Linked DNA regions of Oryctolagus cuniculus. The main gene of each other region encodes a partner of the protein of the gene in region 2 in a complex. Links are inferred from orthologs where the notes say so. Each region holds a gene or a part of one and is shown on either strand. Other genes may lie near its edges. The genes, in order: TMEM107 and TMEM231.

Region 1 (15,454 bases), on a different chromosome or scaffold from region 2:
GGCCAAAGAAATGCAAAGGAGTATGGGCCTGGTTCTCGGGGCGGGTGCTGGGGGGGGGGGGGGTCTCAGGCTAGATGCGGGAGAGTACGGTCCCCGCTGTCGGCAGATCCGAGGGGAAATGTGAGATAAGGAGCATCACACACAGGGGCCTAGGGCCCAGTGAAAGCAGAGGTAAGCGAGGGTCTCTGGGGGAGGAAGAGAAGGGCTTGTCTTCTCCCGCCCTGATTGTACACAGTGGCCTGGAAGAGACTGGGAACAGCTCCAACTCCATGCCTGACCCTTGCTGCTGATCTGCGCCGCATGTAACGGTCTGAGGCGCCTGTGTCCAAGCTCTCTACTGTCCACGCAGTAAGCTCAAGAGCTACATGTTGTGGTCCTGAGACTTAGAAACAAATCACACACCAACGGCAAAAGGAAGACCTTTCTCTCTGTCTCTCTCTCACTCACTGTCCACTCTGCCTGTCAAAAATAAAATAAAAACAAATCACACATCCGAGTTTTCTCTGAACTCCTCCGTAAGCCATGCCCACTTCGGACCGAATTCCAGCGTTTCTCTTTCGGTGTAAAATGCTTTGGGATTGGAAAGGTTGCTTTACTAATTTACTTCAAGTGCACGATTTGTAACTAAAAAACGATTAGAAGTAAGCTGAAAATTTAAGCCCACTGGCCCGTACGGGGATCGAACCCGCGACCTTGGCGTTATTAGCACCACGCTCTAACCAACTGAGCTAACCGGCCAGATGGCATTTGGCCTCAACAAAAAGATATATAAACTTATAAACTTATATCATTGCTCCGCCCTCTGAACCCTTAAGAGTAGAACTGCTTGGGAAACGTGAGTGTAAAAAAAAAAAAAAACAAAACAAAAAAAAAAACGAGAAATGGATTCGCTGAACACTTTCCACGAGTTAACAGCCAGGATTCGATACCGACAAGCACGGAAGCACAGATGATGTGACTGCAGGCAAATTCCGCGTGCCCGAGGGACAAACGCACGCCACGACCACGTCCACGTCCTCGTCCTCGTCCTCACGCACACACGGTCAATAGGGTAAAATGCCTGAGAGCCCGCGAGGCGGATTCGCGGAGTGGGGACGAATGCCACTGACAGCACCGGGGCTCTTCCCAGCCTTCGCAAAAGCGAGAACACCCGCGGAGGCACCGCTGGGATTCGAACCCAGGATCTCCTGTTTACTAGACAGGCGCTTTAACCAACTAAGCCACGGCGCCCGCTTGATGGGAAGTGGCGCCATGTTTCCTTGGCCCGGTCAGGTCCGGGGAGGAGGATGGCAAGCACGTGGTTTTTGTGGTCGTGCGGGAAAATGTGGTCGCAGAGGGCGGGGAGAGAAGCAAGACACGAACGGGACCGAAACGCAGTGAATCTGGCGGAGGAAAGAGAGATCCTCGCGTTGGGAATTACAAAACGGAAAGCGAGCGCTCACGACGGCGCGCCGACGAGGATGGGATTCGAACCCACGCGTGCAGAGCACAATGGATTAGCAGTCCATCGCCTTAACCACTCGGCCACCTCGTCCACACGTCCGCCTCACTCGTTCTTCTCTCAGGCACCTGAACTCTGCCCGCCGCCTGCGGCACGCGCCTCCATCGTCAGTCAGGGCCGCGCGCCCGGGGGAGCCCGCCCGGCCCCGTGAGGAGAACGCGCCGCGCCGGACCCAGCGCCTGGCCCTGAGGCGCGAGCGCCCGCCCCTCCTCCCTCTGGGCTGAGCCCTCCGGGCCCGCGATCCCGCAGGGTCTCGGTACTGGATCCGTCGCAGACGCCCCGCGAGGCCGGCGGGCTCTTCCGACGGGGGAGGCTTCGCGGTTTGGCGCCACAAGACCCCTCCTCTTTCCGGCCCTTGAGAAGGAGCTGCACGTTCTCCGTGCTCCGGCGGCAGCGCTGGCGCTGGACCCCCAGTTGAAATAAAGGGGAGCTAAATAAAAAAGCGATTGAGGAACCAGAAAAGGAAGTGACCCCGACGTGATTTGAACACGCAACCTTCTGATCTGGAGTCAGACGCGCTACCGTTGCGCCACGAGGTCGGCCGGCCAACGCGGGGGACAGGTCCATTCATGACTACTGCGGCCTGGGCGTGCTGCAGGGGTCCTAAGGACCCAGATGCGCGAAGGCTGAGGGTCTCCTGCGTGGCGGCAGGGGTGGGGTGGGGGCTGCGTTTGCCCACCTGTCCCGTGGGTCCAGCCGAGCTTGGAGGACGAGCCGGTAGAGGGCTTGGAGCTGGTCCCCGGGCGGGTCACAGAGGTCGCAGCCTCGCTGGGACGGCTCGCCCAGCACCGCGCTGCGGGACAGATATCGGCGGACCGTGGTGGAGCCAGGGTAGGGTCCAGGGGGCACCTGTGAGCGGCGGGACGTCGGCTCCCTGCTGTCCGCACGTTGCCATCGCGGGCGGCGCGCTCAGCGGGACCCCACGCACCGTCCCGGGCTCGGAGGATTCTGATTCAACCCCCCCGGGGGGAAGGACGCCCCTGACACCCTATTGATAGCCTCAAACGTTCTTGGGGTGATTCGCACAGATCTTAAATGCGTGCTTTGACAACCGCGTACTCCTGTGCGACTCACTCCTTGAAGACACAGGACGGCCGCATCACTCTAGAAAGTTCTCTCGTGTCCGCTCCCGAGGGACGCCCGCCCCTCTGTGCACGGCCGTAATTCCCATCGCCGTGGACGTTAGCGGTTTGTAAAGCTCCCCACGTGACACAGGGCTGGGCACTTGCAAGGAAGTCCACCTGCCGCCGGAAGAGGCCCCGGTGCTTCTAGAAGCTTGAGAGGGGCTCAGCCAGCCGGGGTGGAGGAATAAGCCATGGGGGATCCCACCATCTTCCAGGCCAGCCTGGAAGAGGCTCTCCTAAGGGTCCTCAGAACTCACTTCCCACTTCCGGCCCCCACATCCGGTCAGTTCCATTCTCCTTGGTGATTTTTCCAGCCGGCCCCTGCTCCCCATTCCCACTCCCACCCCCACACCTTCTCCTGCCAGATTATTTTTAAGACTCCTTTCTCACCTCCTTGCCTCCAGAGTCCGCAAAGAGAATAGTCTCTTTCAAAATGCAAACGTGATTCCACCAGGCCTTGGCTCAAAGTCAGACCTAATTTGTTGAGTGGATTCACAAGGTCAGACAGCAAGACCATTTGGCTCCGGGACAGTCCCTGAAAGCTTGGTCTCTGTCCCCGGTGCCGAATCAAAGTGACAAGGACAAGGCTGGAGGACAAAGGAAGGAGAAAGTTTAATCTCTGTGGACAGGGCCGGGAGCAGATTAGCAAACTCAAGCGCTACTGTACTGCTTAGTAAGAGCTGCAGGGGGGGGGGGGGGGGGCTGGCTTCACAGAAATGCGGGAGGGGCGGCCCATTTTGGGAGTAGCTGTGGTCAAGGCCAACACCGCTCAGCCAGCTACCGAGAATGCCACAGCAGACTGCCACGTAATCCTTGTGAAAGTGTGCAGGTGCGGAGAGTGCCGGGTTGTCTGTAAGAGCAAGTCCTAAGAGTTAAAGCGTTCCCACAGCATGGGCAAACAGAGAAGCCTGTGGCCTGGCCTTGAAGCCTAACATAACATATGCTTTGTGATGGCGGCCTGGAAGCCAGCGTTTGGCTGGACTCAGTGGGAGCAGACTTGTGCACTGTGGTGAAATCTGCCGCCTCGCATTTGATTTCGCCGATTTCGCCGAGAACCAAGCCCAGCCTTTTTCAGATCACCCTGTGCCTGGTTACAGAACCACGTTACCAGAGTTCACATACAGGCTTTGCGGCTTAACTGGTGGTGTAACTTGGACTGGTTTTTCAACCTCCCTGTGTCTCAGTGACCTCATCCCTGAAATGGCAAAGATGGTAACACATCACTATGGTATCTGTCTGCTACAGATCACAGGCTCGGAGCCTGGCCAGTGGTGATCACGGAGCAAGAATTTGTTCTTAGTAATAGTACTATTGGGTCCTTGCCTGATCTTCAGCCACTCCCCCCTCACCACTTGTGCACAATGGTCCCTTGTCTCTATGTCATTATCCCTGCTATTGCATGATAATTTTTCAAGTCCTTACATGCCACTCAAGGCTCACCGTCCTCCCCACTTCTGCAAGAAAAGGCCCTTTGTCTTCTCTAAGAGAGCACTGAGAATTTTACATTTTAAGGGCAAGGGTTTGGTCTAGAAGTTAGGGCACCCGTGTCCCCTATCTGGATTTGTGTCCTGGCTCCCAATTCTAGCTTACCGACAATGCAGAGCCTGGGGGGCAGTGGCGATGGCTCAAATAGTTGGGTCCCGGCCACTCACATGGGAGACCTGGATTGGGTTCCTGGCCCCTGGCATCAGCCTGGCCCAAATCCCAGGGCTCCCAGCTTTGGTCAGCACCATTAGAGATGTCTGAAACCAATGCAGTGGATGGGAACCCTTCTCTATAAATAAAACATGTTTAAAAGAGAGAAAATTGACATTTTGTTTCTTCGGGATGTCCTGTCCCTTTCTAGTAAGAAAGTAGGAAAAATGTATTCCTAGCACACAGCACAATTCCTGCAATGTGTGTTTCAGTAAGTATTTGTGAAGTTAAGGAAGGCTAGCTTTAGCAAGAGCAGGAAGTGGGCCACAGAGTGGCTTACAGAGGAAGGTTTGTGTGGGCACCTGAAGGACACGGGGTGAGGCGGATCATTTTGGTTGAAAGGGAAGTTGGCCCAGTGACTATGGTTACCGGGGACTAGGGACTCGATGTCTAGGCATAGAGTGGTCTGTGGCACTCTGTTGTTGACGCTTTCATTCATGCCCCTGGTTTCCACATTTTAGAAGCCATTAAGTAACCCTACTGCATGGCCCAATATGGCAGTCACTGGGTTGACTCTTCAATCTAGGGCTACCCGAATGAAACTTAATCTTAAAATCTCAGTCCCTCAGTCCCGCTAGCCTCATCTCAAGTGTTCTGGTGCCACATGGAGCTGGTGGGCTGCCACGGTGGACACAGACAATGTGCACTCTTTCCTTCCGTCATCACAGCAGAGGGTCTGGAGCGCAAAAGCTTAGTAGGCTGAGGGCTGGGTCCCGTGGCCTTCAAGGTTATTTTTTCTTCTCATTTGTTTTTCATTTTCAAGTTGCGGAGACCAACATTTAAGACCAGGATGAGAGGAAGTAACCCAAACAAGCAATCTGGAGGCACTGGACTTGGCTTCTCTCCAGGCTGTGGAAGCTGAGCTGGGCAGCACCGACCCCCTCTCTCACCTCCTCACCTCAAACACGTGGGCGTTGTTTCTACTGATCTCAAGGAACTTCCTGTCTGTGGTGTGCTGCTCCTCCTTGCAACACACACTCCATCCAGGGGGCCTTAAAGGGCTTGCATCCTGTGCCACCCCCACACCAACACAGAGGCTCTGCTAGGTGCTCAGGAAAACAGGAGGGTAAGTGAAGAAACAAACAAAAAGTATTTCAAGAGGAAAGAAGCAAGCAACAGTATTGAGTGCTGCTGAGGTGTGTTGTCATTGAAACCCCGTTGTCTAAGAGGTACAGGCGGAGAAACTGAGGCACAAGGTGATATATTTACCTGTTTGAGGTCTTAGAGCTTGTAACCCAGCCTGACTCAGGCATCTGAGCTCTTCACGGCCACACTAGTTCTTTAACTCTGTAATCACTTGATTGATGGCTTCGTTATTGTGTCTGTCTTAGGGAATATCTTAGCTCAGGCTGCTGTAACAACATGCTGCAGACCGGGTGGCTTAAACAGCAGACATTTCTGTCTCACAGTGGTGAAGGCTGGGAAGTACAAGATCAAGCTGCAGGCAGATGTGTTTCCTGGGGAGGCCTTGCTCCCTTCTCCCTGAGTGCTCACACTTGGAGAGACACATGTCTTCCTCAAGAGGGTCCTACCACCCTGACCTAATCTAAACCTAATCATCTCCCACCTCAAAATGCCGCCGCATGAAGGGTTAGGGCTTTAAAACCAGGGCATATCCAAAAGTTCATGGAAAATGGAACTAAAAGATACTTTGATACAAAAAAAATGGAATCCAGGGATAGTTTGTTTTACTATGCAATTTGCATAAACTGGTTTGGCATACTTTCGTGTATCTCATAAAGGTATAGAAATCATAATACATGAAGAACACTTGTAACTCAACAGTGAAAAGACAAACAATCCAATTAAACAAACAAACAAACAAAAAAAAAAAGAAGAAGAAGAAGAAGTTAAAGGGCCAGCTCTGTGGCACAGTGGGTTAAAGGCCCAGCCTGCAGCACTGGCAAACCATATGGGCGCCAGTTCAAGTCCTGACTCCACTTCTAATCCAGCTCCTTGCTAATGCACCTGGGAAAGCAGCGGAAGATGGCCCAAGTGCTTGGACCCATCACCCACAAGGGACACCTGGATGGAGTTCCCGGCTCCTGGTTTCGGCCTGGCCCAGCCCTGGCTGTTGTGGCCATCTGGGGGAGTTAACGAGTGGATGCAAGATCTTTCTCTGCCTCTTCCTCTCTGTAACTCCACTTTTCAAATAAAATAAATGCATCTTTTAAAAAAAGGTAGAATGAGAAGCTCGTGTGCGGCGGCGGTGTCGGCAGCGGCTGCAAAGAGAAGAGTTTGGCGCGATGTCTCATACCATTTTGCTGGTACAGCCTACCAAGAGGCCAGAAGGCAGAACTTATGCTGACTATGAATCTGTGAATGAATGCATGGAAGGTATTTGTAAAATGTATGAGGAACATCTGAAAAGAATGAATCCCAACAGTCCGTCTATCACATACGATATCAGTCAGTTGTTTGATTTTATTGATGATCTGGCAGACCTCAGCTGCCTTGTTTACCGGGCTGATACCCAGACATACCAGCCTTATAACAAAGACTGGATCAAAGAGAAGATCTATGTGCTCCTCCGCCGGCAGGCCCAACAGGCGGGAAAATAATGGAGTGGAAGCAGTAGGGGGATGGGGGTGGGCTTGGAACACAGGTGTGTACAGCGTGCTGTAGTGGGAGTTTTGTATTATAGTGATCCTGTTTCCACTTGGTACACTCTAGCCAGATTGAATGTATCAGATGAAGTGTGAGAATGTTGTTCAATCTGAAACCCCCATTGCCCCTTTTTTCTTTTCTTTTTCTTCCCTTTTTTTTTTTTTTTACTTAAACATTTTTATGAGGATTTAGATGGAATTTTTTTGTCAGTTAATGTTGGTTCCAGAGCTTCAGACTGTTGAGATCTGCTTTATAACAGTCACTGTACTAACCCTTAGAGATGGGGTGGGGGGTGGCTCAGTTTAGTTACATCCTCAAGGCAAACTCTTAGTGGAAAATAAATGTTCTTTAGTTATAAAAAAAAAAAAAGGTAGATTGAAATACACAAAAGATGTTAAAATCTATGTGGTCACCATGCTACTAAAAAGATCTAGTTGTGTTTGTAGGACACTACTGAACCGGGATTCTGAAAACTGGCAAATAATGGAAAAAAAAAAAAAGGACCCATTTATCCTGCCTTTCCTGTATGACTCGTATCTCATGGAAAATTCTTACTGATAAAAGAATTCTAGCTGGTAGATGCAGAAGAGGGCTCGAATTAGGCCATCCCCATTTTGCAATCGCTATTGAAATCATGCAGTTAGGCAATGAGGACCCGTGGTACCATTAGGTGAGAATGGATGAAGAATTTTATCACGGGTGGCTCAGCCTGACCGCACCCGAAGCCACCACTCAGACTTCAGCACCACAGACAGACAGACACACAGACAAGCAGGATTCCTGATGAGGTGAACAGAAAGTACAAACCATCCCTCGGGATGTGATCTTACCAGAAAACTGAATGACACATAGATCAACCATTAGACCTGACCATCAGTTTGCAGGAAACACAGTGCCAGGAGAGAATGAAATGACGCCACACGTGGCCCAGTATCTTCAGCAAGAAAAGAAGGAAGGTGAGGTGATGGGGAGGAGGGCAAACCCAAGATTAACAGAGATTTCAGACATGTCAGCCAAGTGGACTTTATTTGTACCCCAATGCACACGTGTGGGGTTGTGGTGGAGGGGAGGGGGCAACAAAGCTGACCACGTGCTGACAACTGTTGAGGCAGAGCAGTGGCCCTCCCAGGGGTTTGTTATACTGTTTCATTTTTACGTTGTGTTTGAAATTTCCTAGGATGCCAAAAAATGAAAAGTTTGCAAGTTCTTTTGTCACCAATTCAAATGCTGAGATACCGAATCCAGCCCTGGAGTGAGTGGCCACCTACGGGAGGACAGCTGGTCACCCGCAGCACAGCCCATGGCCACCAGCAGGCTCTAAAACCCAGGCAAGAAACGACTTTCTCTGAGGCAAGTTTCTATAAACCAAGGTTGTGGACAAGGACAAAGCAGACATAGGCTGCCCACTCCCTGTTCATGAGTCCACACCTAAGGACCTGAGAACTCGGTTTGTACTGTCTAGCCCGTCTCCTAGGCAGAACGCCTACTGAGCAGAATGCTCCAAACCTCCAGCTGTTGAACGCAAAATCCTTGGGTCACCTTGACTCTCCCTTTTCCTCACCCACCCACAGGCCCCGAGCCAGACCCTCTCCCCAATCCTTCTGCTTTGCTCCATCGTCTTTGCTTCACCCTGTCCTTTCTGGATACTTCTATGGCTTCCTCGTTAGTCTCTCCATATTGCAACCTGGGTCGTGGAGAATACGAATCTGACCACGTCGCGCCTGGTGGCTGCAAGGCCTGCCGCGACCACGCTCCACCTCCTTTTGGGCTGCCTACCACTAGGCTTTGCAGTGCAGGCTGACTTGAAGGCTGGGGTTACTCTCCTCAGAAGCGGGGAGGGAAGCCCCTTGGGTGTGCGCAAGCAGCAGGGGTCTTCCTGGAGCCCGTGCGGCCGGTACCTCGGAGACCCCGGAACCAGAGCTGAGCCTTGCGTCCCAGGCAGCTCCAAACCTCCTGTGCGGGACGCTTCGTCCACGCTCGCCCTGTCCAGTCCCGGCGGGGCCGTCCCTAGGCTGAGGCTGCCACCATCTTCTGCACTATGCAAATCCCTCACCGAACCCGGCAAAGATGTCTGGGGTGCTCCGACCACCAAGGGCTCCGTGACAACGGGCCTGCCGGACAAGGTAGGTCCAGTGAACGTTCCACGTTGGGCTCAGGGCACAAGGAAGCTACGAGGACGGAAAGGGAAGACCGCGTCTGAGCCTCCAACCTAAGACCGGCACGCCGGCCGCAGCAGTCCGCGAGCACCTCCTCCGCGGACAGGCCATTCCCGGCAATGCAGCCTGGGGCCGCGCCGCTCCGGACCTGAGCAGCCAGCGAACCCCCGGACGTAGTCCTCCGGTTAGGAGGCTGGCGGCCGCAGCGGGGTCCCCGAACACGGCGCACTTGCACGACGGCGGCTCGAGAATTTACGGCTCTCGCGAGATCTTCAGAACCCGAGGCGCACGGTCCGCGTACGCAGTTACCAAGGCAACGGGGCGGCCCCTGAGGCGCGCGAAGGCCGCGGGCCGGGAGAGGTTTCCCAGCGCCGCCGCCCGCGGCCCTGAGGAGCATGAGCCGGATCTCGGGGCTCGTGCCCTCCCGCTTCCTGACGCTGCTGGCGCATCTGGTGGTCGTCATCACCTTATTCTGGTCGCGGGTAAGACCCACGGCCGCCACTCCGCGTCGCCATCTCGCCGTGGTCGCCGCGCCCACCCCGCCCGGGGTCTCAGCCGGCCTCTCTCACTTCCTTTCCTTTTCTGCCCGCTCCCCAGGACAGCAACGTCCAGGCCTGCCTGCCCCTCCGATTCACCCCCGAGGAGTATGAGAAGCAGGACGTGCAGTGAGCTCTTGGGGGGGTGGGGGTTCGAAGGAAGAGGCGGTGGGAGTCCCGGAGGCCGGGGGTCCTGAGCCGCTCCCCTTCCTCTCTGCAGGCTGGTGGCCGCCCTCTCGGTCACCCTGGGCCTCTTTGCCGTGGAGCTGGCCGGCTTCCTCTCAGGAGTGTCCATGTTCAACAGCACCCAGAGCCTCATCTGTATCCTTTCTGCCCCCACGACCCGTTTCCAGCGCGACTCCCTTCAGCGACCCCCTTCCCCCCAGGAGCCCCGCCTCTGCTTAGGCAGTGCAGGGATTTGACACAATCCTCAAACAGTTGTGGATGCCGCTGTGCACCGGGCCCTGGAGGTAAATGGGGGTGAGGCGGAGGCAGACACACACACACACACACACACACCCCACTATCCTCTAGGAGGGGGTAAAAGAGCCAAGGATTGAGGGAGGCGCTTGACTCTCCAGTTGCGGGCCTCCTGGTGGAGAGTGATTCCAGCAGAGAGGATCAAGTCGCTGTCCGCATTCCTGTGGGGTCCATGGGGGCCTGCTCTGACCTCCCCTCGGGGGTGCAGGCTGGCCCCTCCATGTGGGGTGAGGGTAGCCTGGGGTCTCGGCAGTGCAGGCTCAGCGCAGGCCGCTACACGTGGGCCTGTTAAAATCAGAAGGCAGGGCTGCTGACTCCCGCCGTCGCACAAGGCCTGGGAGCTCCACCACTGGCCTGCCATAGCCCGTCGCTGTTGTGGCCCCAAGACTTTCCTTGACTCCTGTGTGTCGCCCACAAGCCATCGCAGCGCACTGTAGTGCATCTGTAGCCCTGTCGTTCTTCATATTCGAGCGCTGGGAGTGCACCACGTACTGGTACATTTTTGTGTTCTGCAGGTGCGGTTAGCACCCAGTCTTGGGGGGTGGGGAGGAAGGCTCGCCCCATCCAGCTCTTCCCTGAATGTTTGAGACACCAAGACCACATCCTGTGGTCCTTTGAAGTCCCCCCTCCAATCCCACCCTCTACACTTCGGGGCTGGGATGTCTGGTTTGGAGATTCGGGTATTTATGTTGGAAGGGGGCCTGACCCCACCACCTGCCTTCCACAGCGCCCTCCCAGCTGTCACTGAAGTGGCATTATTCATCGCCGTCTTTGGGCTGAAAAAGAAACCCTTCTGATCATCCTCACTGCAAGAACGTGGAGAACAGGGCTGGGGGAGCCAGAAGCTCCCGTTCCTGGCAGGACAGCGTCGCCGCGCCCCGGAAACTGCTTCTGGTGGAGGATGTCGGTGTTGGGATAATTGTCTGGGATAGCGTTTTAGTCAGTGCTTTGTAATAAATAAAATCTATTTTATAATAAGATCAAAATTTATACAATTTTCAGGGAACAGTTGAGTTGGCCAAACTACTGCAGAGACTGCTTTCCAGCCCATAGAACAACAGGGGTCGCTTCTATTTTGGGTATTACGGTAGAGTGCTGGCGGCAGGGATGGGCGGAGATATGTAAATAAGATTGTGTATGCTCAGAACTCACGAGCACGTGAGGGAGCAGAGCATTCTGGGAGGAGTTAGTTTATTCCTTTTTGGCAATCGAATGTAAGAAGTTTTTTTTTTAACGTTACAAATAAATGTCGAAATATGATTGAAATAATTCAAAGCAACTGGGTTTCTCCGACTAACGCGTTGCGTATTCACCCTAGGTCTTAGGGGCATCTGCTCCTCTGAATATGGAATGGCCGGGGCGGGCCGGTATCGTCAGGTGGGATAATCCTTACCTGTTCCTCCTTTTGGAGGGCAGATAGAACATGATGATTGGAGTTCGCATGATGCGTGATTAGCGTCTCTGCGTAATCAGGACTTGCAACACCCTGATTGCTCCTATCTGATTCTTCCTGACGATCACCTTCATCTTTTTGGTTTGTGCTAAATGATAGATGTGGATTGTGGGAGAGTTGTTTTGGCTTGGGGTACACTGGTTTGTGTTCTGGTAGATAGAAGTTTCATTTTTTCCTGAGAATGTTTTCCTGCCGGTACTGTGTTTTTCCGTGCGCCTGCGTGATTCCTGTCCCTGGTGGTCTACTTTCTCCCCTCGGCCCACATTGGAAGCCCTGGAGAAACTCTTCACAATTTTAGCTAACTGCCCTGAGCAGAGCACATCTTTTGATTTCCTGTGAAATGGTGGTTCCTATCAGCCACCCTGGGTGTCACAAGTGTTTTATTTAATGGTCCTGGCAAGAAGGGTGGACTCCTCTGGTGGGTACCCCACCTGAAAACCTGACGATGCACCCCTGTTCAGTCTTGTCTGATGAGACCACCTCCTGAAGAAAGCTGTTAAAACGCATTGACACAATAGGACACTGTACAGATAGGCGAGTTTACAAGAGTCTACAGTTCTGTCATATAAATATTCTCAGGGTTCTGTGTAAGCTGGGAAGGTTTCTCTGTAGGTTTTTTAACCCAGAGTGGTGGAGTCCAAGCTGTTCCAAATAACCGAAAAGCGTCTGGTGTTGCCTTTCAGGTGCTGCCTCACACACATAACCTTTCCTTCTGCCCCCTGGCACTGCAGCCCTTCATCCATAACATTCATTCAGTGAGTGCTAATTGAGCACACACTGAATGCAGAAAGCCCTGAGCCCTGACCCCTACTCAGTCGACCCTGCTGTGGAACAGGGGTTACTTTGCTCAAGGAGGCAGGAGTGGTGTCAGTTCCATGAGAGCGTGACCGGAGCAGAGAGGAGTAGGAGACTTGATCTGGAGGGTTCCGTCCCGTCACAGTCTGCCTCTCAGTCCCACCCAGTGCAGTGCTCCGACCACCTTGGGGGAAATGACTGTTCTTCAGTAACTTTCTGAGCCAGGTGATAAACACAGACATTATTAAAATTTAATTATGTAAACTTACAGTTAAATATTTTCAACGAGATAATAAGTACTCAAAGCCCATTACTTCCTGATCATTTTACTATAAAATGTTCTTAAGGTTGACTGCATTTGTATGGTGGAAATACTGTATAATGATTTTCGACTGTGCATCTCTTCTCTTAGTGATGAGTTGGCATTGGTGGAAATCTATACACCAAAGAAATCGGCGGATGCTACAAATCAGTCCTTGTAGGTTGTCTGGATTTTAAGACAGAGATGGAGAAAAATATTAATAATGCAGATTAAACTTCAAAGTGTTATCTCTGCAACTGTCACATTGTGAATAGCACACAAATCTGAGAAAATATTCTCCCAGAATTTGAGAACTATTATCAGAGCCAATAAAGAAGTACCTGTGAAAGCAGTGAAGTCTCAACAGATAACATCATTGTTTCATTTTGTCATGAATGAAGATAGGAACCAACATTCACATTGGACTAAGCTTGTAGTTTGGATGCAACATTTATGAAATAATATATTAATTTTTGAAAGATTTATTTATTTTATTTGAAAGCAGAGTTACAGAGAGGCAGAGAGAGAGGTCTTCCACCCAGTGGTTCACTCCCCAGATGGCCACAACGGCCAGAGCTACGCTAATCCGAAGCCAGGAGCCAGGAGCTTCTTCCTGGTCTCCCACGGAAGTGCAGGGACCCAAGGACTTGGGCTATCCAAGAGGGCCATAACAGAGGCAGCTGCAGCAGTCTCCTAACCACACACTTCTTATCCTCATTGCAGACAAGGGACAGCCAGGAACCCCCCAGACCAGAGACTCTAGGAAGCAGGCCGCGGCGCTTGAACTGGCTCCCATATGGGATGCCAGCACTGTAAGTGTGGCTTTACCACTATACCACAGAAGAGGAATTTACAATAAAGAATATGGTACACTTTATTATTTGTAAATTCTGTACTATATGTATTTTTATCAGTACAGTTTATAATAAACGTACATATGTACAGAAATGCATACCGGTTTTGAGAGCTGGCTGTTAACCATTCGCCAGCACGCACACTCTGCCCCTGCCATCACCAGGGACTGCCTTGTTCCCAAATTCAGAGTCGCCGCTCAGACTCGAGCTCCACAGCTCTGAAGTGTTGACTTCGCCGCCTTCTGAACCTTCTCCTCCCTCGGCTCCGGAATAGTGCTGCCCCTGGCTTGAGTGCCCACGGTTCGTCCATCTCTGGGGACGCAGTACGGGTCTGTCTCCTCTGCTTGTCTCCTTGGGCGACTTCACCCACCTCTTGTCCTCAACCAACAATGTGAGCCCTCACCCTACCTTCCAGGTCCAAGAGCACTTTCTCCCCTTCTTGCCTGTGAGAGGGGCAGCAGGTCACCTACCCTCTCTCTGCCTCAGTTCCCTCATCCGTACTCCAGCAGTAGCTACCATGAACTCCTGTCTTGACCCAGACCAGGGGCTTTGCCGGTTAGCATCTCTATTGTGAAACTAGTGGTGTTCTAGAGAGGAGGGCTGCCGCGGAGATGGTAGAGAGGCTTCACCGTCTCCAACAAAGGCCTGCAGCCTGAACCCTGATCGGTGGCGCCGCGGCCTGCTTCCTGGGGTCTCTTTGGTCTGGGAGGTTCCTGGCTGTCCCTTGTCTGCAATGAGGATAAGAAGTGTGTGGTTAGGAGACTGCTGAGGCTGCCCCGGTGAACCTGTTCCTGCACGGGTCAGGGACCTCACTGACCTGAGAGAGCAGACGTAAGATCCAGCTTCCCATTGATGGGCCCAGGAGCAGTGCACGATGGCCCAAGTACTTGGGTTCTCGCCACTCTTGTGGGAGACCCGGATGGAGTTCCTGCATGAATGGTTTCAAATCTGATTGCTAACTCTCCGGGAGAAGTACCTGTAGGTACAGCAGAATTCTCCCACAGCTCAAGCTTTGTTCCAGGTGGTGGAGCTGGAGGAGGGGGAGGGCAAGCTGCCGATGCCTATCAAAGAGACCAAATTGGCTCCGGTTAGTTCACAGCAATATCTCTTCTTCGGTTGTTGAGAGGATGAGCTGGGATAATCCAGGTGCCTGTGTGGGGAGAGTTGACTTCCATCCTATCCCGGTGACATCTGTTGTCTGTCCCCGTTCACCACCGATCCTTTTTTATTTTTCTTCCTGGTAGCAGCACCCCCATTTTCCTTTGGGATTTTCCCATGTTGGCCACGAGGTCCAAGCCTGGCCAGTAAGAATGTCCCATTTTTCCCAGCCACAGTGATTGGCTGAGGCATGAACCTTGCCGATCCAGGACTTTTGAGGGAAGTTTTGGGAAAGAGGATCCTAGTCTGAGAAATAAAAGCACCCTGTGGAATAAAATGATGGAAACACCAGTGCGGTGACCGGCTAGGCCAATGGAAGACGTAAGACAGCCCAGACGCAGGACTCGATATATAGAATTTAGTAGATGATAAGGAGGTTACTTAAAAATCAGTGTGCGTGGGGCTGGCATTGTAGTGTAACGGGTTAAGCCTCCGCCTGCAATGTTGGCATTCCACCCGGCCACATCCAGTTCTGGCTGTCCTACTTCCAATCCAGCTTCCAGCTAAAGCACCTGGGAAGGTGGCAGAGGATAGCTCAAGTCCTTGGGTCCCTGCCCCACAGATGAAACTCCTGGCTTCGGCCTGGTCCACTCCTGGCCATTGCAGCCATTTGTGGAGTGAACCAGTGGATGGAAGATAATCTTAAAACAAAAAAAAATATATCAGTATTGGGAAGGTTTGGTGCAATGGTTAAGAGCCTGCTAGGGACACCCATGTGCCATATAGGTGAGCACCCATATCCCATTAGGTACGCTGGGCTCTGCTCCTGATTCGAGCTGAAAGACAGCTGATGG
Region 2 (15,436 bases):
GCTCCAGCAGCCACACGATCTGGACGTCAGGAACTGCTACACATCTATTATGGGGAAACAGTAAGTGCTTCTCTGTGGTCAATTAAGCCTCTCATCCTGATCGCGGCATGCCGAAGAATCAGCTACCGAGGCTTTCAACATCTCATCTGGGCAGATCTGAGAATGCCTGGTGGGTGTTTCCTGTACAGCCGCTTCCTCCAGGACCCCAGAGTGGACCCACCTCCACGCTGCAGAACTGAGGGCCCACGGACACAGCCGGCAAGCACGGGCGGGCCGCTGGGCTGCCTGGCAGGCTCCTCGGGTGGCCTGTCGCTTCTCTGAACAGCTTTCGGGTCTGTGCCCTCCCCAGGGGAACCTCTCCAAACCAACACGGACCACAAACTACAGGCGCGAATGCATCACTGACTAAAAGGAGACCCGGGAGAAGGGACTCCCCGCAGCTCTGCAGCATCCTCGGTCAGGCAAGACGACATGGTCCCCGTGCACAAGAGGAACGAGAAGTCCGCGAGCCCGACACGCAGAGTGAAAGACTGCACGTCCCGAAACCTAAGGGCCGCTTCCAGGACCACGGTGAGTCGCTCCGCCACCGTTCCCAAAAGTGGCAGTGACCTGTTGCCCTGTCCTAGAACATCGTTCCTTACGTAATTGGCCAGGGAGCCCTGGGGCTGTAGACAGCTCGCTGGCCCAGATCGGGAGATTCAGCACTGAGGCACCTGAACAGCACCAGCCCCAGCCCCTCGACCCCGGCCGGGGGACCGCCGGCCACGCCAAGCGGGGTCCGGAACCTCAGCTCACCCAGTGTCGCACGGCTGGGCCCCGTCGCCGCTCCCGGGCAGGGGACAGGGGAGCCAGCAGGGCGAGGGGGCGGGGAGTCCCACACTCACCGGAACCCGGTCGGGGTATTTCGCTCGGATCTTCGCGGATTCCACGCATCTGTGTTCTGAGAGAGAAACACACCGGGCTGACGGCGGCGCCTGCCCGCCGGGCCGGTGCCGGGCCCCAGGCCCTCGCGGTCCTCCTCCCCCGGCGACCTGCGCAAGCCCCGGCCCTCGTCCGGTGTCTCCGCGACCGCGGTCCTCTGCCCCCGGGCTCCCGGAGGAGGGGCCGCAGAGGGCCGCACCGGGCCAGGGGGCGGCTGCCCACGACGGCCCGGGCCCTCGGCGACCCGAGCCCGGAGCGCAGCATCCGCCCCGCCCGACCCGGCCCAGGGCGGCCCGAGTGGGGGAGGGGGCCCACCCGCCGCCCCCACTCCCCGCGGGCCGGCCGGCCGGCGGCCGAGAGCTTACCGAGCGAGTGGTCCTCCTTGAACATCCACTTCATGGCGGCGGCAGCGAGGGGACGCAGCCGGCTCTCGGGAGCCGCGGAGTTCAGCGAACCGACCACAACAACAACGACGGCAGCGACTACACGGCAGGCGGGACTTCCGGCTGCCGGAGCCTAGCAACTGGCAGGGGCGGGGCTTCCGGCGCCGCCCGCAGGGTCGCCGCTCCAGGGGGCGGGGCCGCACTAGGGGCGCAGGGGGCGATCGGGCTGTGGCGCTGGTGGCAGGGGTGTCTTGAGGGCTACTGGCTACTGGGTCGGGGGAGGACTGCTGGAGGACCTGTGACGGGGGTGGGGCGCCAGGGCGTTGGTGACTGATACGGAAGACTTTTGGGGGCGTGGCTGAGAGGCTAGGGCTCTTAGGGTTGTTCATAGGGGAAGTCTGGGACGGTGCTGACCAGAAGGGTATTTAGGAATATGAATGACAGAAGAGTGGTCTCTTGTTAGGGCGTTGACAGTTTGGGGGATATTTGCAGCGGTGAGGGGTGGGGGACTCAGCATAGGGGAGTGTTGGCAGTTTGAGGGCTGTGTGTGGGGAGGGGAGCTGATGACGTCCAGGGGGTCTTGCACTGAGGTCAGCCATGCTAGGTTACCTTGAATCCAGAAATCATACAGGAATCCCATTTCCTTCCTTGATCCACGAATATACGTGTGGATGCATATGGAGGGTGTCACAAATGCTTGTGTGACATCAGCGGCCACACAGCGATCCCTTAACCTTCACCCAGCAGGGAAGTTAGAGGTGACTGCCAGGCCGGAATTCCTCTGAGTGCTGGTCACGGGGCAGGTTTCCTTGTTGGGCAGTGGGAGTGGCTTAGCAGGCACAGCCGGGCCCTCTGTGTCACCTGCCTGCACGTAGCCTTGAGGTTCTCCACTCAGCGATGTGATTCCTTTCTTCCAAGCAGAGTCACCAGGGCAGGGTGTCCTGGGTCACCATCTGTTTATTAGCTGGTGAACATGTGACCGGAACATTCATCTAATTGGGCACATGACCCCTGCTACATGCTTGTGATTCTGCTGCATCCAAAAGGCCTGTGTGTTTGAATAATGTCATCCATCACTTCCTACAGATCGAATTCCCCACGGATGCTGTGGAATGCAGGGTTCAGTCTACAAGTATTTCTGTGCATTTACGGTTGCGTGTCTCAACAGCCAGAAGAGGGTTTGTTAACGAAGTGGAAAATCCTTTGAGTTTCATACTTAGAAACTGGTGCTGCCGCTGCAGCTCAATAGGCTAATCCTCCATCTAGCGGCGCCGGCACACCGGGTTCTAGTCCCAGTCGGGGCGCCAGATTCTGTCCCGGTTGCCCCTCTTCCAGGCCAGCTCTCTGCTGTGGCCCGGGAGTGCAGTGGAGGATGGCCCAAGTGCTTGGGCCCTGCACCCCATGGGAGACCAGGAGAAGCACCTGGCTCCTGCCATCAGATCAGCGCGGTGCGCCGGTCGCAGCACGCCGGCCGCGGCGGCCATTGGAGGGTGAACCAACGGCAAAGGAAGACCTTTCTCTCTGTCTCTCTCTCTCTATCCACTCTGCCTGTCAAAAAAAAAAAAAGAAAAAAAAGAAAAGAAAAGAAAAGAAAAGAAAAGAAAGAAAGAAAGAAAGAAAGAAACTGGTGTTGTGGTACACAAGCACACTCACTGCCCCAGGCGCAAGGGACAGAGCGGTGAACAGACAACACCACTGCTCCCATGGAGGCTGCATTCCCATGAGACAAGGCCAAAAATAAATATGTGATATGCTAATAAGTGCTGGTTAGAAGAACAAAATGAAGTAGATGACTAGACGGTGATGGTGGGATAGAGTGCTGACTAAAAACCCTGCCGCAAGGCAGGCTCTGTGACACAGGAGTTAAAGCCCTGGCCTGCTGTGCCGGCATCCCATATGGTTGCCGGTTCGAGTCCCAGCTGCTGCACTTCTAATCCATCTCCCTGCTAATGTACCTGGGAAAGCAATGGAGGGCTATGTGTGCCCCTAAAAACCCTGCCACTGAAAGTAAGTAAACAATGAGGATTGTATTAGGAGATGGGATCAAAGTCATCTAGAACAAAACTGTTGAACTTTGAATTTCTTGCAAAGAACTTTGGATTTTATATACATTTAGATGAGCAGTGGAGGATTTTAAGTACAGGCATAATACAATCTTCCTTTTTCAATGACCAGGCTAGCTTCTGTGTTAACAGTGGACTATGGGGGCGTAAAGGTGGAAGCAGGGAAATAGTTAAGAGGCTATTGTGAAAATCCAGGTGAAAGATCATGTTGGATTAAACCAAGATGGTATCTGGGGACATGCTGGGAAGCACTTGTGCTCTGGATATATGTTGAAGGTAGAGCTGACAAATTTTCTGACAGATTGGTTGTGAGATGTGAGGGATAAGTTAAAGTCAAGGTTTTTTCAAGGATGGAATGGCCATTTACTGAAATAGGGTGGAGCTAGCATGCAGGATTAGAATCAAGAGTTTGGTTTTATTTCTTTTTTTTTTTTAAAGATTAATTTATTTATTTGAAAGGCAGAGTTACAGAGGCAGAGAGAGAGAGACAGAGAGACAGAGACAGAGAGAGACAGAGAGAGGTCTTCCAGATGGCTGCAACCACCAGAGCTGCGCTGATCAGAAGCCAGGAGCCAGGAGCTTCTTCCAGTCTCCCACATAGGTGGCAGGGGCCCAAAAATTTGGGCCATCTTTGGCTTCTTTTCCCAGGCCATTAGCAGGGACCTGGATCAGAACTGGAGCAGTCAGGAATCAAACCAAACCCCTACGGATGCCAGCATCACAGGCGGTGGCTTTTCCCACTATGTCACAATGCCAGCCCCAAAAGTTTGGTTTTAGATGTATTAAATATGAGAAACCCAAGAGACACATCCAAGTGAAGCTGAAGAATGGGTGAATGGCCCTAGGAAAGAAGTATCTAAAGCTACTGAACTGGATGAAATTAGCTACATGAATGAAAGTAGCTATTTTGCAGATAAAAAACTGAACACTGAAGTCAGTAAATCAGTGGAGGAGTTAGAAGTTGGACTCAAGACCTCTGTTTGCCTTTACCTAGTTGGATTTGTGCCACAGTCCCAGAGATGTGTTTATCACGTCCCCTGTGGAGGTGCCTAGTACCCTTTTAGGGGCAAGGTCGCTGCTCATCAGCTCATAGGCATGTCCCCGATGGTCCCAGTGATGACCTGCATTGTCTTTCTGTCTTCCATGCTTACTACTTTCCTGCTGTGTTTTTCCTGTTTGTTTGTTTATTTATTTATTTATTTATTTTTATTTTTTGACAGGCAGAGTGGACAGTGAGAGAGACAGAGAGAAAGGTCTTTCTTTGCCGTTGGTTCACCCTCCAATGGCCGCCGCGGCTGGCGCACCGCACTGATCCAAAGCCAGGAGCCAGGTGCTTCTCCTGGTCTCCCATGCGGGTGCAGGGCCCAAGTACTTGGCCCATCCTCCACTGCACTCCCGGTCCACAGCAGAGAGCTGGCCTGGAAGAGGGGCAACCAGGACAGAATCCGGCGCCCCGACCAACTGGGACTAGAACCCGGTGTGCCGGCGCCGCAAGGCAGAGGATTAGCCTACTGAGCCGCGGCGCCGGCCCCTGTTCATTTTTTGAAATGGCTTCTCTGAGCTGCCTTGATGAGAGGCATCCATCACCTTCTCGGCTCATTGTAATGAGCCCACAGAATGCTCCAAGGACACTGGATCTGTCCTTGAGGGGGTGGTTAGTTGAGGAGGGGTCAGGAGGAGAAGGATAATGAATCCGTGCAATTCCACGTTAACAACCTATAGGACGTGCAGGATGAGTTGTTAAAATGCTGGAGAGATGCGCACGCACGGATACCCGAGGTACGGCCAGGGCGAGGGATGGGGCCAACACAAAGCCAGGTGAGGCGTAGGGAGAAGGACTTCGCAGGGACTGTGGATCTGAGGATGCAGAGGAACGGGTACATTTTTCTTTCCAGACACAAACAAAGGCCACCAGTGGAAGAGGAGCTGCAGAGAGATGGGTGCCAAGGTGAAAGAAGTGTTGGAACGCCTGGAAGCCAGTGCTGAGGACTCCAAAGCTGACTCCGGAGACCCGGAGTAGAAGCTCCTGTAAAGGAGAGGAACGTGATCAAGACATGCAGCTTGAAGAGAATGACTGTTCTTGGAGGTAAACTGTATGAAACATGAAGAACAGTATGGAGATGGAAACTGCAAAGTCAGTTCTCAGCCTTAACTGTGTGAAAATGGCATGAAACACACAAATGGCATTTTAAAATGTAATATTCTGTCTCAAAGAATTGAAATAAAGTCACAAACACTAGCTGCTTTAAATCATGGAAGCCAGGATGCTGCATTATTGTCCACTGCTATATTTACTTTTGCGAGGTTTGTGACATCTCGTGGGAGACTCAAGCATTTCATACAGTGTGCTCTCCTCCTGTCTCAGCAGTGACTTACCGCGGTGTGTGTTCCTCCTGTCGGAAGAAACCCTGGAAGCACAGGCGTCCTTCTTACCCTCAGAAGTCTGTAGGCCCATCTGTTCCACAAGACCTTCGTTGAGTGGTTATTTAAGTAGCTGCAAGTTGTCCACTTAACGCACAGATATGGAAGAACCATGCCACAGATCTAAGAGGTGCTGCATCTAAGAACTATATGAGCAGGGGCCGGCGCCGTGGCTCACTTGGTTAATTCTCTGCCTGCGGCGCCGGCATCCCATATGGGCGCCAGATTCTGGTCCCGGGTGCCCCTCTTCCAGTCCAGCTCTCTGCTGTGGCCCAGGAGGGCAGTGGAGGATGGCCCAAGTGCTTGGGCCCTGCGCCCGCATGGGAGACCAGGAGAAGCACCTGGCTCCTGCCTTCAGATTGGCACAGCGCCGGCCATAGCGGCCATTTGGGGAGTGAACCAACAGAGGGAAGACCTTTCTCTCCGTCTCTCTCTCTCATGGTCTGTAACTCTGTCAGATAAATAAATAAAAAAACCTTAAAAAAAAAAAAAAGAACTATATGAGCACCCCTTTCCCACTAAAGCTTTCAAGCAATGGTGAGGAGAGGGTTGGTCTATCATTATTATGACTCATGACATTAATTATCAGCTTGGACTGCAGTGAGGACCCTGGAATGGTTGTCCTCACTGGGCAGGGCTCGATCCCTTTCTGTTGGCCTCTGCTGGCAGCCTCTAAGCTGTTCTCTTTCTGGGAAAGCCACTTCTAGGCTGCTTTCAAAATAGTGCATCAACTACTGCTGCTAAGCACAAACCTTCACACTGATTTTTTTTAAGATTTATTTTATTTATTTGAAAGGCAGAGTTACAGAAAGGTAGAAGCAGAAAGAGAGAGAGGTCCTCCATCCACAGGTCCACTCCCCAGATGGCTACAACGGCCAGAGCTGCCTCAGTGTGAAGCCAGGAGCCTCCTCCGGGTCTCCTATGTGGGTGCAGGGGCCCAAGGACCTGGGCCATCCTCCAGTGCCTTCCCAGGCCATAGCAGAGAGCTGGAACCGAAGCAGACAGTCAGAAATCGAACTGGCACCCATATGGGGTGCTGGCCCTGCAGGCGGTGGCTTTACCCACTACACCACAGCACCGGCCCCCACACTGACTCCTGATCCTGCAACTGGAGTCTTCAGGGCCTTTGGATGGAGAACTTGGCTGTGGACCATTGGTTTTATTATTTATTTTTCTTTTTTTTTGTTGTTTGCTTACTTTTTTTTTTCTTTTCCTTTCTTTTGGATCATAGGTTTTAAAAATCCTTCCACCCTGTTCAAAATACTGGCTTGGCAGAGAAGGCGGTGGGCAATCAATTAGCAATAAACCAATGTTATCTTTGGGAAGTACGACTTAACCCACTGGGGCAGCACTGTGGTGCAGCGGGTTAAGCCACCATCTGCAGGGCCAGCATCCCTTGTGGGTGCCAACTGAGTCCTGGCTGCTCCACTTCCAATCCACTTTCCACCTGGGAGAGCAGCAGAGGAGGGGCCAAGTGCTTGGGCCCCTGCACCCCAGTGGGAGACCCAGTTGAAGCTCCTGGCTCCTGTTTTTGGCCTGGCCCAGTCCTGGCTGCTGCGGCCATTTGGGGAGTGAACCAGCGGATGGACGATCTCTCTCCCCTTCTCCCTGTAACTCTTTCAAATAAATTATTAAACCTTAAAAAAAAAAAAAAAAGGCTTAACCCACTGCACAACACGTCCCAGAGGGGAGTGCCAAGTCCCAGCTGGTCGGCTTCCACTCCAGCTTCCTGCTCGGGCATCCTGGGAGGCAGATGATGATGGCCCAGATATTCAGGCCCCTGCCCTTAAGTGGGAAACCCAGAGGGAGTTCCTGGCTCCTCGGGCCATTTGGGGGAGCGAACCAGCAGTTGAAAGATCTCTGCCTCCCTCTGTCACTCTTTCAAATAAATATTTTTAAAAAGAAATGTATCTTGTTTAGTAGCTCCCTCTGAAACCGGCAGCCGAACCTGCACCCAATACAGGTAACAATGTACGTAGTAATGACCCTGCCCGCCCCAGAGCCGAGGGTTTGGGTCCTGTGCGCTGTCCTGCTTCCGGAGCCACAGAACACAGAGGCGGAGCAACCCGGCCTTGGCCTTCGTCCAGGACCAGGTCGAGGAGCGAGGCCACGCGTGTGCGACCTGCGGGCATCAGCGTGGACCACTCAGCCGTCCTCAGCCGTCCCGAAGCAAAACACGCAACGCCCCCCTCTCGGTGGCCCGTCCACTGGCTGACCACGCCCCTCTCCAGGTAGCTCCGCCCCTTCTAGAGGCCCGCGCCGCTACTATTGGTCCTCCTCCCGGCGCCGCCGGTTGCCGTGGAGACCACGACGATGGCAGCCGGGAACAGCCAAACTTGGTCGTCCCTTCTCGGTTTGCGTAGGGGTCTCGGCGTGCGCCGTCCATGGCGCTGTACCAGCTCTACTCCCACCCGGCCGAGCGCGGCTACCGCGCGGGGCTCTGCTCCAAGGCAGCGCTGTTCCTGCTCCTGGCCGCCGCGCTCACCTACATCCCGCCGCTGCTGGTGGCCTTCCGGAGCCACGGTGAGCTTGCTAGGCCGGTGCGCGCCACCGCCTCCGCTCGGGACGGCCTGCCTGACCTGTCCCCCTCTCCCTCTCACGCCCTTCTTCTCTCAGGGTTTTGGCTGAAGCGGAGCAGCTACGAGGAGCAGCCGACCGTGCGCTTCCAACACCAGGTACTGCTCGTGGCCCTGCTGGGACCGGAGCGCGACGGCTTCCTGGCCTGGAGCACCTTCCCCGCCTTCAACCGGCTGCAGGGGGATCGCCTGCGCGTCCCGCTCGTCTCGGTGCGTGGCTCCCGCCTGGAATTCCGCTTCCCCCAGACGCCCAGGTACCCGGGCAGCGCTGCGTGCTGACCCGGGCCGGGCACGGTGCGCGCTCGGGGTCCCGCGGTGTCGCCGCGTTCACGCGGCGCGGCGGAAGCTGGGGGTCGGGGGCGGGCGTCTCCGGGCAGGACTGACCCTCGGAGACCGGGCGCCCCGCACCTGTTCCCCGGCAGGGCCCCGGCGGAGGGAGCCTGCCCCACGTGATCTCAGAGGCTGCTCCAGCGTGCATCTGTCCGGGGTAAAATTGAGACTTTTTCTTTAAGAGGGCCGAAACTTCTAGTTTTCCTTCTTCCACGTCCTTGAGGTGAGTGGCCTACAAGACAAACTCGTGTAAAAAATGTTCCCAGCAAAAAGATGATAGGTCGTATGAATAACTAGAAAGTTTGTTACAGATAGTTTTTCTCTGGTTACTTCTGAAATTTATTGGCTTTTTTTTTTTTTTAAGATTTATTATGTATTTGAAAATGAGAGTTGCACAGAGAAAGGAGAGGCAAAGCGAGAGAGAGAGAGGTCTTCCTGATGGTTCACTCCCCAGTTGGCCGCAACGGCCAGAGCTGCACCGATCCAAAGCCAGGAGCCAGGAGGTTCTTCCAGGTCTCCCAAGTGGGTGCAGGGGCCCAAGCACTTGGACCATCTTCTACTGCTTTCCCAGGCCACAGCAGAGAGCTGGATCGGAAGTGGAGCAGCCGAGTCTCAAACCTGCACCCATAAGGGATACCGGTGCTTCAGGCCAGGGCGTTAACCCGCTGCGCCACAGTGCCAGCCCCTATTGACTTATTTTAATTAGGAAAGTACCCAGTTTCCCACGTCGGTGTCAGGGGCCCAGGTACTTGGGCCGTCTTCTGCTGCTTTCCCAGGAACAGTGGCAGGAAGCAGGATTGGAAGTGGAGCCGCCAAGACTTGAACCGGTGCCCATAGGGGATGCTGGCGCTGCAGGCAGAGGTCAAACCCACTGTGCCACAGCACTAGCCCCAGGTTTTTTCTCCACATGTTTATATTCCTCTCTATCATGTGCTTCTGGTCATTTGAGTCTAAGAAATACCATGCAGGCTTGAGATAATTGTGAAGACAAGGATAAACCATTAAGTTTCATTCATTCATTGTTTTTACGGGTTCGTGCAACACAGCTGCTGTTGGCCTCTTAGCTCTGCAACCAGAAACCAACCACTCCCTTCAGTGCACCGCCCTGGTCCCCCCTTGCATCTGGCGTGCAGTTCCAATTTTAATGAGAAGCCAAAACTAACTCTTAATGTTTATGGTACCCATACCATGAGATCACTTTCATACTGGGTAATTTTGGGGCTGGCACTGTGGTACAGCGGGTTAAAGCCCTGGCATTCCATATGGTCACTGGTTCGAATCCTGGCTGCCCCACTTCCGATCCAGCTCCCTGCTAATGTGCCTGGGAAAGCAGTGGAGGATGGCCCGGTGCTTGCGGCCCTGTATCCATGTGGGAGACCTGGAATAAGCTTCTGGTTCCTGGCTTCAGCATGTCCGAGCCCTGGCCATCGTGCCATTTGGGGAGTGTACCACCGAATGGAATTTTTTTTTTTTTTTTTTTTTTTGACAGGCAGAGTGGACAGTGAGAGAGAGAGACAGAGAGAAAGGTCTTCCTTTGCCGTTGGTTCACCCTCCAATGGCCGCCGCGGCCGGCGCGCTGCGGCCGGCACACCGCGCTGATCCGATGGCAGGAGCCAGGAGCCAGGTGCTTCTCCTGGTCTCCCATGGGGTGCAGGGCCCAAGCACCTGGGCCATCCTCCACTGCACTCCCTGGCCACAGCAGAGGGCTGGCCTGGAAGAGGGGCAACCGGGACAGAATCCGGCGCCCCGACCGGGACTAGAACCCGGTGTGCCGGCGCCGCTAGGCGGAGGATTAGCCTAGTGAGCCGCGGCGCCGGCCTCGAATGGAATATTTTCTTCCCCTACCCCCTACAGCCAGTGCGCCACAATGCTAGCCCTGGTTCTTAATTCTTTTTTTTTTTTTTTTTTTTAGATTTATTTATTTATTTGAAAGTCAGAGTTACACAGAGAGAAAAGGAAAGGCAGAGAGAGAGAGAGGTCTTCCATCGCTGGTTCCTTCCTCAATTGGGCACGACAGTGAGAGCTGCACCAGTCCAAAGCCAGGAGCCAGGAGCTTCTGCCAGGTCTGCCACACAGGTGCAGGGGCCCAAGGACTTGGGCCATCTTCTACTGCTTTCCCAGGCCACCGCAGAGAGCTGGATTGGAAGTGGAGCAACTGGGACTCGAACCAGCACCTGGGATGCCGACCCTGCAGACGGTAGCTTTACCTGCTATGCCGCAGCACTGGCCCCTAGACTCTCAACCTTTGTTACAGCAAAATACTTTTATTTTCTGACTCTGAACATAAAGCCCGACTGGCTTCAAGCTGTCTGCGAAACTGTCTAGGAAGCTACAGAAACAGCGGTCCTCAGTCAAGGTTGAACCAAGTGCGGGGAGGCATCTTGGTGACTGCTAATTTGGGAAAATGCCTCGGAAGTCACAAACAGCCTGGGTTCTGCTTTGGTCAGCTCACCTTGGACAGCATCTCTAAAGTCCCCCCCTTCTCTTTGATTAATATTATTTTATAAGATACCTTTTTTTTTTTTTTTTTTTTTTTTTTTTTTTTTGACAGGCAGAGTGGATAGTGAGAGAGAGAGACAGAGAGAAAGGTCTTCTTTTTTTTTTTCGCCGTTGGTTCACCCTCCAATGGCCGCCACGGCTGGCGTGCTTCGGCCGGCGCACCGCACTGATCCAATGGCAGGAGCCAGGTGCTTCTCATGGTCTCCCATGGGGTGCAGGGCCCAAGCACTTGGGCCATCCTCCACTACACTCCCGGGCCACAGCAGAGAGCTGGCCTGGAAGAGGGGCAACCGGGACAGAATCTGGCCCCCGGACCGGGACTAGAACCCGGTGTGCCAGCGCCGCAAGGCAGAGGATTAGCCTAGTGAGCCGCGGCACTGGCCTATAAGATACCTTTTAAAGTGTTTATTTTCATCTGTTTGAAAGGCAAAATGACCTGGGGAGCGAGGGGAGAGTTTTTCACCCACCGATTCACTCTCCAGGTGCCTGCAGCAGCCAGGGCTGCACCAGACAGAAGCCAGGAGCCAGAGTTCCGTGTCTCAGGGTTCCAAACATGTGAGCCACCACCTGCTGCCTCCCAGGATGCGTTAGCAGGGAGCTGGGTCCTGGAGCAGCCAGGGCTCCAAGTCGCTGGCTCTGCAGTTGGGGAAGTGGGTGTCCCAAGCAGGCACTTAAGGAGTGGACAAGCCGGTCAGAGATCTCTGTCACTACCTCTCTGTCTCTCTGCCTTTCAAATAAAAGGAAAGCTGCAGCACTCACCCCACACCTTGCCTTTGGTGCCTTCAAAGTCCAGCTGTTGTTTGTTGCCGTGTTGAGGGTGAGAAGAACAAAGCAGGTGACCTTTCCCCTTAATGGGTCTGACGGGTCCGTGTGGGGGCCCAGAGAAGTTAAGTGCTGCGGGCTCAGAGAGGATGCTGGGGGTAAGAGGGGTTGCCGCGTGTCTGTGCCTCCGAAACCATGGCGTCTTCCTGCCCGCGGTGTCTGACGCCTGCTGCTGGCCAGGACGCAGGCTCTGCAGAGTCCTCGTTGCCTCCCGCTGCACACAGCCACCGGGCGGGCGGCTTCACAGCTTGCAGGAGATGCAGGAGCTGCTGGAAAGAAAGCCCCAGGGCAGCAGTGAAGGGTGTCTCAGCCTCTCCCAAGCAGCGTTTTACAATGCACCGGGTCCAAATGACCGGGGAGCCTGCTGCACTGCCCAGAACAATGTGTTGTAGTTCACTCTGTGAATTGCTTTTTAAGTGGGATCACCCGGTGGACGCGTGGTGCCCTGGGGTTAAGAGGCCTGCATCCCATATCCTACTGCCTGGATTCGAGTCCTGGCTCCGCTTCCAGCACCAGCGTGCGCCTAACGTGCCCCCTGGGAGGCAGCACTGAGGGCTCACGCGGTTGGGTCCTGCCACCCACATGGGAGACCTGGAGTGAGTCCCGGGCTCCCGGTTTTGGCCTGGTCCAGCCCTGGCTGTTGCAGGCATTTAAGGAGTGGACAAGCAGGCCAGAGATCTCTGTCACTACCTCTCTGTCTCTCTGCCTTTCAAATAAAATGAAAGTAAATAAATGTGAAATGTCATGTCATCAGCATATTCAGTGACAGGACAGAATGTGTGGAAAAGTATGGAGGTCATCGACTGAGTCATGGTGACTGTGGTATGTGGTATAAATATGTGTAAATCCAGCATCCATCTCATCAGGTGTAAACTACTCGAAGTGATTGGAAAGTGCGGGGTCATAGTTTAATTGGAAGTGTTCTTCCTTTCTTACTGGCAGACAGAATAATGGCTCATTTTGGGGCCGGCGCCGTGGCTCACTTGGTTAATCCTCCGCCTGTGGTGCCAGCATCCCATATGGGTGCCGGGTTCCGGTCCCAGGTGCTCCTCTTCCAGTCCAGCTCTCTGCTGTGGCCCGGGAAGGCAGTGGAGGATGGCCCAAGTGCTTGGGCCCTGCACCCGCATGGGAGACCAGAAGCACCTGGCTCCTGGCTTTGGATCGGCGAAGCTCCGGCCGTGCCAGCCATTTGGGGGGTGAACCAACAGAATGAAGACCTTTCTCTCTGTCTCTCTCTCTCTCTCTCTCTCACTAACTCTTTAAAAAAAGAAGAAGAAGAAGAATGGTGCATTTTGTAATTGAGGTGTCAGATTCCTTGAAAACCAGGTAGCAAGGATTTGATGACTCTAGGAACCACGAAGCAGTGTCCCTGCTTTGCTGGAGACTCAAAGACTGATACCAGGAGAATCTCCAGTCTAAAAGGGGACCAAAAACACCAAGGGGTAACAAGTATGAGGGCGGAGTCTAAAAAATTCAGAGAGTGCACATGGCGAAAACAACCATGCGGGGCTTGTGCAGTTTTTTTGTGCCCCAATAGATTTATCTCTTAACTGCATTTTTCTTTTTGATTATTTGTTGGTTGTATTTATTTGAAAGGCAGAGTTACAGAGAGAGGAGAAGAGAGATCTTCCAACTGCTGGTTCACTCCTTGGATGGCTGCAACAGCCTGCGTTGGGCCACTCTGAAGCCAGGAGTCAAGAGTTTCTTCCTGGTCTCCCACATGGGTGCAGGGACCCAAGTGCTTGGGCCGTCTCCACTGTGTTCCCAGGCACATTAGCAGGGAGCTGGATCTGAAGTGGAACAGCCAGGACTCAAACTAGTGCTCATATGGGATGCCGATGTCACAGGAGGCTGATTAACCCACTGCCCCGGCCCCTTAATTCCATTTTTCCACGGACATTTGGAAGTATCATCATATATTGTGAAGTGGACATTGGAGTAAATTAGGAAACTAGCTTTTCGTAAACCAAGAATGAATAGATACCACACAAAATTCCAACAAACCATCAGATACTGCAAAATCCTGGATGGGTCAAGATGTAACAAGTCAAGACTGATTTGACTAGAAACATCTGAGCTTTTTTTAAAAAAAAATTATTTATTTTTGTTTTATTTGAAAGACACAGAGACAGAGAAATCTTCTATCGCTGATTCACGCCCCCAGTATCTGAAACAGCCAGAGCTGGACCAGACCAAAGCCAGGAACCTGGAACTCCCGGCATGGGATGCAGGCATGGCACACGCCCACTCGCCAATCGCATTGTGCAGTTCGCGGCATCTCCTGCAGCCAAGTGGCCCTTTCCCGCTCCGCCAGTAGGAGGCACAATGAGCCTTGTGCTAGGAGTGGGAAAACCACAGCCAGGGTGAACAGTTGCTGGGGTGACGCAGACAGGGACAGCGAGCAAACAGAGGCAGGACTAAGACACTACTCTCTCCTGCCACCTTACAGGTCCCCTCCCCGCGTTCTCCCCCTGGCTCTGAAGGCACCGGCACCAGCTGGCAGCACTCCCTTCTTGAGGTCCAAGTCCCAGCTCCCCGAGGCTGCTGCGTCAAGCCTCTGGGATCTGATAACTCCAGGCTCTTGCCTTTCTTCTCTTGCTCCCTGGGGTTGTCATTTCTGTATATAACCCATATTCCCTTTTGGCCTCTTTAGTCCTCTAATATTTATGTTTCTATTTTTCCCTGTATATATTTTTTAAAGATTTATTTGAAATTCAGAGTTACACAGAGAGAGGAGAGGCAGAGAGAGAGTTTTTTTTTTGACAGGCAGAGTGGACAGTGAGAGAGAGACAGAGAAGAAGGTCCTCCTTTTGCCGTTGGTTCACCCTCCAATGGCTGCTGCGGCCGGTGCACCGCGCTGATCTGAAGCCAGGAGCCAGGTGCTTTTCCTGGTCTCCCATGGGGTGCAGGGCCCAAGCACTTGGACCATCCTCCACTGCACTCCCGGGCCACAGCAGAGAGCTGGCCTGGAAGAGGGGCAACTGGGACAGAATCTGGCGCCCCGACCGGGACTAGAACCCGGGATGCCGGTGCCACAGGCAGAAGATTAGCCTTTTGAGCCACGGTGCCGGCCGAGAGAGAGAGAGGTCTTCCATCTGCCGGTTCACTCCACAGTTGGTGGCAACGGCCGGAGCTGAGCCGATCCGAAACCAGGAGCCAGGAGCTTCCTCCAGGTCTCCACATGGGTGCAGGGGCCCAAGGGCTTGGTCTGTCTTCTACTGCTTTTCCAGGCCATAGCAGAGAGCTGGATCAGAAGTAGAGCAGCAGATCTCAAACCGGTGCCCATGTGGCATGCCGGCACTTCAGGCCAGGGCGTTAACCCACTGTACCACAGCACTGGCCCCTCCCTGTGTATTTTTAATTTTTTTTTTTATTTGTACATCTTATTTGAAAGGCAGAAAGACAGTGAGGTAGAGGTATC

Evidence for each region.
Region 1: TMEM231 (region 2) and TMEM107 share a complex: the UniProt entries of both Homo sapiens proteins name them as parts of the tectonic-like complex. The link is inferred for Oryctolagus cuniculus from reciprocal best matches to the Homo sapiens genes TMEM231 and TMEM107.

The regions. Positions count from the first base shown.
Region 1 is NC_091448.1:52,662,234-52,677,687, reverse strand, and holds TMEM107 (transmembrane protein 107), read left to right. Parts: upstream 1-7,658; 5' UTR 7,659-7,883; intron 7,884-8,104; 5' UTR 8,105-9,478; coding exon 9,479-9,565; intron 9,566-9,680; coding exon 9,681-9,743; coding exon of another isoform or gene 9,744-9,748; intron 9,749-9,839; coding exon 9,840-9,940; intron 9,941-10,509; coding exon 10,510-10,614; intron 10,615-10,826; coding exon 10,827-10,896; 3' UTR 10,897-11,608; downstream 11,609-15,454. UniProt on the Homo sapiens protein: Plays a role in cilia formation and embryonic patterning. Requires for normal Sonic hedgehog (Shh) signaling in the neural tube and acts in combination with GLI2 and GLI3 to pattern ventral and intermediate neuronal cell types.
Region 2 is NC_091449.1:57,930,233-57,945,668, reverse strand, and holds the start of TMEM231 (transmembrane protein 231), read left to right. Parts: upstream 1-8,069; 5' UTR 8,070-8,172; coding exon 8,173-8,311; intron 8,312-8,404; coding exon 8,405-8,574; intron 8,575-15,436. Other genes in the region: GABARAPL2 (gamma-aminobutyric acid receptor-associated protein-like 2), read right to left, coding at 885-940, 1,287-1,320. UniProt on the Homo sapiens protein: Transmembrane component of the tectonic-like complex, a complex localized at the transition zone of primary cilia and acting as a barrier that prevents diffusion of transmembrane proteins between the cilia and plasma membranes.